2 linked regions of the Bombyx mori genome follow. The protein of the gene in region 1 purifies or fractionates together with the protein of each later gene. This does not show direct contact. Links are inferred from orthologs where the notes say so. Each region holds a gene or a part of one and is shown on either strand. Other genes may lie near its edges.

Region 1 (4,187 bases):
CTCAGGCTATGCTCACCGCACTTTTAAGTTACCGTGATTCAAAGAGCTGTGTGATTTTAGGTGAACGCTAAAACCCTAGCACAACAAGGAAAGAATGTTCAAAATTTAATTAGTTTTAAAACTAGTTTATTTAGAACCTTTGTATTTCGCCTAAATCTTGACCCCAAGTATATTAGGTCCCCTACGTATTTTGATTTGGGGACGGGCAAAGGTGACCAAAGAAAACGATGTGTAAGCTGCTTTACGCGAGCGAATGATCAATTAGGAACAGATTATCACACTCCCTGACTCACACTGATGGTGGTGCCACCTGGAAGGCTTCAGAGTGCTCACCAACTGAGAGACCTGGTGGTAAATGTGCCATCGACCGTCAGTTTAGCATGCAATCGACACAGGGTGACCAGAAGAGATGCGCTCTAGGCAAAACCGGTCCTTGGCCCCAATTGGCCTTGGATGAATACCGCCTCATGCAAGGTTCGGTTGCGTGTTGATAAGCGACAATAATTTTTAGTTGGTTCAACTCCGATATGCCCAGCATACTGGTCCCAAATCACATATGGATGTCCTACAATTTCCTCCTAATCCAATAAAAGCTGGTAGCCTAGAGAGGCTATTCTAGCGGAATCTTAACTAGTAGGTGAGCTCACGGGGCTCAAACCTGACGACGATGCTAACACGAACCCTAGCAAGAGTCGTGCTTCGCAGAATCTACCACCGGATCGGAAACGCGACTCACTGAGAAGATCCGGCGAGAAACTCAATGGGCTGTGTCTGAGAGTTAATTTACTCGTCGAGCCCTTCGTCGCAAGCGACGGGTTAGACGACAACGGTGATCGGTGCTTGAAGTACCTCGAAGCACCGTTAGTGGATGGGGAGGATCCGAGATGACGTGTGAAGGGTGGGGTAGCCGTTGTAACTATACTGAGAACTTAGAACTTATATCTCAAGGTGGGTGGCGCATTTACGTTGTAGATGTCTATGGGCTCCAGTAACCACTTAACACCAGGTGGGCTGTGAGCTCGTCCACGCATCTAAGCAATAAAAAATAAAAAAATAAACATAAAAAAATTAAATAAAAATATAAAAAATATATATACATATATTTAACTATATCGTGTTTTGGATTATTTTTATAAAACAGTTTTATTAATTCACTTTTTACCTGTTTCACTTTATATCAAATTTTCCGTCATTGTCATTTTCAGTATATTTCTTAGAGTCGCCTCCTTTCTACTTTCTTAAAAAATTAAAAAACAGCTTATAATCCAGAGGTGGTGGTGGATTTTGTAGCCGATACAACTTAAATATTACCATTATTGCTCTCTATCGTAGACTTTATCATACGAAATCGATAAAATCGCTAGAATTCTATCGGACTCAACTCTTAACCGTGCATTTCTCGTATGCTGCTTGGTTTTTCTATAATCTATGCTAAATGCTAATATGGCCACTTCGTCGATGAAGCGCATTGCGCGGTATTGCGTGATACCATTGTTGTTGTCGGCATTATTATGGCAAAAGGTGATAAAGAATTAGAGAAGCCAATAGTGAATAATGAGTTGCCTAATCCTGAGTGTCGAAGTACTGATAATGAAGACTCCGAGTCGGTCCCAGAACAGCCTTTGGACATAGGAGAACATTATTTAGTGCGGCGATCGGATGAGTCATGGCACCCGGCTGAGATTATACAGTCGCGATACAGTACAGCGGAATCTTGTTACGAATATTATGTCCATTATGTCGGATATGATAGAAGACTCGACGAATGGGTGTCCCGCCACCGGGTTATGTCAGATAGGTTCGACGTATGCGAGCAGTCGAACAATAACATAAACTGCGACCACCTGCTCACGGACAAATCCGGCCGGAAAATAACAAGGAATCAAAAACGTAAACATGACGAAATAAACCATGTGCAGAAAACTTACGCCGAAATGGATCCAACGACCGCCGCGCTTGAAAAGGAACATGAAGCTATTACTAAAGTTAAATACATAGACAGGATACAAATTGGAAAATATGAAATCGATACTTGGTATTTTAGTCCGTATCCTGATGAATATGGTAAACAATCAAAATTGTGGTTATGTGAATACTGTTTGAAGTATATGAGAATGGAAAAAACATACCGGTACCATCTCAGTGAATGCACAGCACGCCAACCCCAGGGTAACGAAATATACAGAAAAGGTACAATAGCTATTTTTGAAGCAGATGGCAAAGAACATAAAATATATTGTCAGAATTTGTGTTTATTAGCCAAATTATTTTTAGATCACAAAACCCTTTATTTTGATATAGAACAGTTTTTATTTTATATATTGTGTGAAGTTGACAAGCAAGGAGCTCACCTTGTAGGATATTTTTCAAAAGAAAAGGATTCACCTGAAGGCAATAATGTGGCATGTATATTGACTCTACCTCCATATCAGAGACAGGGGTATGGTAAACTCCTGATAGCTTTTAGTTATGAACTCTCAAGGCTCGAACAAGTTGTTGGAAGTCCAGAGAAGCCTTTATCAGATTTAGGCAAGTTAAGTTACAGATCGTACTGGTCATATGTTTTATTAGAAGTGTTAAGTGCTAGTAGAGGTACATTAAGTATCAAGGATTTAAGTCAGATGACAGGAATATCACAAACGGACATCATTTCAACTTTACAGTCAATGAACATGGTGAAGTACTGGAAAGGACAGCATGTTATTTGTGTTACACCTAAAATAGTTGCTGAACAATTAGCAAGCCCGCACTTTAAAAAACCACGGTTGTCAATAGATCCTTCAGCACTGAGATGGACGCCCCCTAGTAAACAGGGGAACTCTGCCAAAGCCAAAAAGTAGTACAGGCTTACAGGCAGGGCTTAGGGAATGTTAAAACACAGTTAAAACCAATATCTCAAGTCCAGGCCTGTTATAATAAAAAACTGCAACACATAGAATGCTAGAGTATTATAGTCGTAAGAATCTTTAATAAATGCAGTTGCTTTAAAGAAAATTCAAATGTAAAATAGCATTTTGAGATCGAAGAATCCCAGTGGATGGAACGACAGCTAAGTATTTTCAAAATTAGAATAGGATTAATGATATAGCTTTTAAATTGATGAGTGTTTTTCACAACTTGGGGTTTTGTTGAAAGAAAGAGTACCTCTAAATTGTATATTACACTATATGTCTATTTGTATACTATACTTTTATGTATTGCTCTTTTGGGATGATATCTCATATTGTGATGCATTGACCCTAGTATATAAATTTTGTGTATGTAACTTATTTTCAAAGACAAAAATATTTGTTTTCTAAGTGCCACATTCATTAAAAAGGACACAGTTTCATTAATATGTTTATTTCATGACAATGTAATGATTTAGTTCATTACCATTATTATTTCTTTTAATTTGTAAATGCTCTTTTATTTGTTACAAAACTAGATCTGCGTATTTTTGTAACATATCTCATTCAGTTCCTTTTAAACTGGTTTAAGTGATACTAATATTAAGTTTAAAAATTAAGTTAAAATTGGAAATAATGTAAGATTCATTTTAGCTTTAATTTTTTGTTTATTTAGGGCCATGTCTTGTTAGACTGACAGTAAAACTGTCTTCAATGTATAAAGAGACTAATTTGTGTAGTTTAATGTCATTTTAGGGATCATTTTGCAATATTTCATCCACATTTTGAAGTCAGAAATTAAATGATGCAAACAAGGAAATCTTGTGTAATCTTATGACAATGGCCCTCCCACGCATATCCAAACTGTTTTCAGTGTAAAAACACGAGTTTAGTATTGTGAAAAGTTCAATGACTTATGTAACCATGTGCGGACTTAAAATAGCTGAGGATTATTGCATCATTCAAGAATGACATGTGAGATTTGTTTTGAAATGTACTTGAATATTTTCTGTTTAGGATAAGCTTTTGTATTGTGTTTATTTCAATTTGGCAAAAATGTGTTGAATTGTCTAAAAAGATCTTGTTGCCTCATCAGTTAGATTCTGTGAATCGTCAGTTTTCACTGTTTGTTTGTGATAATCTTAATTTGTAAGGTGAAAGTGTCAGAGTTCGAAGATTAAAAAAATGAGAGTAATTTGTAACTGTGTTATTTCTAAACCCTTTTTTATTTCGTAAATTAAAAACAAAACCTTGTATGTTTTTTTTTCAATTACTTTTTATTGATTCATTTTCACATAT
Region 2 (4,287 bases), on another chromosome or scaffold:
AGGTGTGCTATAGATTATGGTTATATTTACCGTCTGGCTGGGTACTTGTCGAAGAGCCGTCGTCGCTAAAGCCATGACGGGTGCGCTTGGCGGGCCCCGCCCCGGCGGCGCTTGTACTACCACCCTTCTTTCGTTCCCGACGGTACAAGTAAGCCCCTCTAACAAAAAAAACCCCAATGTCGATAATACTGCGATGCAATTCTATAATTTTATTTCTATAGTTTTTCACAAAATAATAAAATCAAAGGTTTTTCATTACAATTACGCATTTTTTTGTTTGGAATATTCACTTTGCAAATCAGGATGCACAATGCGGATTTAATTTTTTTTATTGTTTTTTAATAAACAATAAATCCTAGATACAAATAAATTATACTTTTCATTACACACGCCATCATGTATTCGAATTATACGCTTAATATATGTCTAGGTACGTAGGTCTATAGGTATGTACTACGTGGCTAGGTTTCATGCGCAATAGCTAACGGGGATGTTTGCGTTGCCTAGGGCGTGGCTGTTGCAGACAATGAACTGCAGAAATTTTATACAATGTTCAAATGTTATGTATCGAAAATCGATTTTTTGTTGTTAAAACATAGATTGACATGAAATCGAGAAATAAGAATTGTTATAGGCCTAATTCTGATCGGAAAATATTTAATTAATTTTAAAAGGAATTTTAGTAGTTAAGACCTAAAATGCATAAGAATACAGTAAATTGTCTATAACGACTTATTAAACTTATTCATATTAAAGATTCATTGAAGTGTTACTAGCGACCCGCCCTCGCTTCGCTTCGGAAACTGTAATTTATTATTGATTTCTCCACTATCTAATGGATGCTATTATACACATAAACCTTCATCTTCAATCACTATCTATTAAAAAAAACCGCATCAAAATCCGTTGCGTAGTTTTAAAGATTTAAGCATACATAGGGACAGAGAAAGCGACTTTGTTTTATACTATGTAGTGATGAATACTTACAACTGAAGCTGTGATTTTTCAGCTAAATCACGTTGCAGCTGTCGATTTTCCTCTGTATCTTTGAGAACGAAGTCTTCACTGACACAGCGATCCCACGAAGAGTTCCATCCTTGGAAATGGATTAGATACTCAACAGTTCTACGCCCTCGTTTGTCTTTGCTCTCTACGACTTCAAGAACCTGTTTATTTATTGATATAATTAAATAGTATTTTACTTAGACACACTATAAATTCTTTGTTCAATACATTTTAACGGAAATTTCACTATTTTATTAATTTTTTTTCAATATGTTTTTTTACTGGTGGTAGGACCGCTTGTGAGTCCGCGCGGGTAGGTACCACCACCCGGTCTATTTCTGCCATGAAGCAGTAATGCGTTTCGGTTTGAAGGGTGGGGCAGCTGTTGTAACTATACTTGAGACCTTAGAACTTATATCTCAAAGTGAGTGGCACATTTACGTTTTATATGTCTAGGGCTCCAGTAACCACTTAACACCAGGTGGGTGTGAGCTTGTCCACTCATCAAAGCAAAAAAAAAAATACAGACATACTATAAATTCTTTGTTTGATACATTCTAATGGAAATTTCACTTTTTATTATAATATGTTTTCAAAATATATATTACTTGGATATAAATATTTTCAGTTTCAATACATATTATTATATTCATTAAAATGTTGATATGATTTGACTACACATGAGTTGTTGTACTTCCAATGTGCAGATAGGGTGTGGTCACGGTTTGCTTTGTTCGTGCAAATTCTTGAAATGAATATAAAGAATTCATTTCCTACTATATTTTTGCTCCAATTATAATGAGCAGATAGGTTTAGGTAGGATTTTGTTGTATTTTATAGAAAATTAAGATTGACGTTTGTAAAAAAAAAGCTCTATAATAGAAAATGTTAAAATTTTATAATTTTTCATTCAGTTTCTTTGTGATAATCAAGTTTAAGTGGTTTTTGAAAAAGTTACTAAATAATGTAGAGCATGTATCATTATATAGTAATATATTAATTTATTTAAGATTATACATCTCAAGTCTGGTCCAGGTGTGGCTATCAATAAAATAATATATTTTATGCAACTTTCTTTGCTTTTTAAAGCAATATTTGATTGGAATATTTTTTAAGTAACATGATGCCAAAAGCAAATGCATTATTTGGATTATGTTCTCATCAAAAATTTTAAAGCTAGCACTCTTATTTTTTTTTCCATATTATGTATATTTCTATTATTTGAATTGTAATTATATAACATTAATTATATACAAAGAAAGTTTTGGGTGTGGTCAACTTTTAAATGTTCTTTAGTAAAACAGATTCTGATTTTCACAAGTAAATGAAAGGATTTTTTTATATTTTTAAATTAAGGTTCTGCCTTAAGGTTTTACTTCATTTATTTAAAACATATATAGTTTTTTTACATATTGGTAGATTCCTCGTTTTTTGTTTAAAAAAAATATTATTTAAAAAAAGAAGTATTTTACCTTGGAATCATAAAGCACCTTGGCTTTAGTAGGGTCTGGCTCGTAGCACAGGACTCGTTCCCCCTCAGTGAATTTATATCGTAGCCCCCGTGTAGAGACCATTGTTAACTGATGCCTTGCCCAAAACTGATGGGAACTTAATAAAATCACTCCATTTAACAAATGCGATGGTTAAGTTTGTAAAATTTTAGTTAAAAACAAAAAAAAACAATGATCTGTAATAACCTAGCGATATTAACTGGTTGCGGACGTCCGAATGACTCCAGGTCGTGGTGTGCAATAGTAAGATCAGCGGTACAGTACTATTATTTTAGGTAGCGCGACACGCCCTGGACACGCCTTATATTTCTGAAAATAATTATTGTTTGGGCGTCGGCTGCTGCAGATATTTGTTTTGTTTGGTTTCTCTCAGCTGTCAGGATCTGTCAACGTCAAGTTAAAGCATTTAAACCTAAATAGTTCTTATCATAAAAGCATAAAGCTTACATTTCAAAATGACATGTTGATCGATTTCATTCTTGTTTCTCTATTTGATATTTGGAGAGGCAAAGAAATCTTAGATCATAATGCTTCAATGTAACTCTAAAACTCTATGGTTGAATGTACAAGATTATAGAGGTCAGCTTAATGTTTTCGGTCAGTTTCCGGGGATTTTAGAAGCTTTGTTTGGGAGTAGGCAGTGGGTCTCCCGATTAAGCTGTTAAGAAAATTGTTGATCGCAAAGTAGTACTACTTCAATAACGTTATTTTGTGGGGAGAATAACTAGTGAGAAATATCGAATGGATTTTACCTTTAACAAGAATACTCCATCAGTATTAAAATTGTAATTTGAAATACTAATGGCGGCTACAAAATCCATCTAGGTAGAACGATTTCAACCTATTTGGAGGAAATCGAAAAACACTATTATCTTCAATCGTACTTAACTACCAAAATATGTTATAATTAAGAGCCTGCGTTTTGTGATGCTTATCCTCAAGTTTTTTTGACCAGTCGTTAACTATTGAATCCGTTCGGCCATGGAATGTACTTCCTTTGTCGATCAAGATTGGCTCAGTATTAAAATTCTGTAAAGGGATGTTGAGAAAACATTACTTTTATGATTAGTTACCACAAAAAACGTCATAGAGCGTTTTTAAAAAGCGTTAAATCTGTATTTTTATAATATTCTTCTTATTTATAACTTCTTGTCATAAAATAGTTCTTATTACTTACATACTTTATAGTACATATTTATAACTGTACCTATGTCTTTTTATTTATTTATTTATTCATAAAATGCTGTATTTTAATTAATATTTTTCTATCTCATTCAGTCAATTAAGCATTTTAAATTGTTACATCGCAAGCTATCATTATTTCTTCTATGATTTTGTTCATCTTACGGTTGCCTGGAAGATTAATAGCGATAATGCGCACGTTGTATTTTCATGTTATGATATTTCTAAAATTTATTTTTAATGTTTTTACAAGAAAGCATAGTTTAATCTAAAACTCCGATAATTCGCTACGAAAAAAAAACGTTATTCTCTTTTATTATAAAATATTCTTTTATTATTTATATTCGGAGCCCATAAAAATCAAAGCGCACAGTTTGACACATGTGCTTGTGCATTTTCATTTATTGTAAATGCTCCTGTTTCAAAGGTGAAATGACGCATGACATGATTGCTTTGCAGCAGGATGGTTGTACTTATTCGTGCGGGGAGAAAAGGAAAATATTTTTTCTTATTCGACTACTATTTTTGGTAAATAGGTCTTTAGAATTTTTTAACAACGGAGGGGAGATTTTCCACCGAGCGGATAATG

Evidence for each region. The genes of interacting proteins can lie anywhere in the genome.
Region 2: the proteins of MOF (region 1) and Msl3 purify together in Homo sapiens (affinity purification with mass spectrometry; 4 studies listed by BioGRID and IntAct, with this or other methods). This does not show direct contact. The link is inferred for Bombyx mori from reciprocal best matches to the Homo sapiens genes KAT8 and MSL3.

The regions. Positions count from the first base shown.
Region 1 is NC_085123.1:12,415,194-12,419,380, reverse strand, and holds MOF (MOF protein), read left to right. Parts: upstream 1-1,379; 5' UTR 1,380-1,511; coding exon 1,512-2,840; 3' UTR 2,841-4,083; downstream 4,084-4,187.
Region 2 is NC_085113.1:6,781,272-6,785,558, forward strand, and holds the start of Msl3 (male-specific lethal 3), read right to left. Parts: upstream 2,802-4,287; 5' UTR 2,580-2,801; coding exon 2,478-2,579; intron 1,167-2,477; coding exon 988-1,166; intron 159-987; coding exon 31-158; intron 1-30. UniProt on the Homo sapiens protein: Non-catalytic component of the MSL histone acetyltransferase complex, a multiprotein complex that mediates the majority of histone H4 acetylation at 'Lys-16' (H4K16ac), an epigenetic mark that prevents chromatin compaction.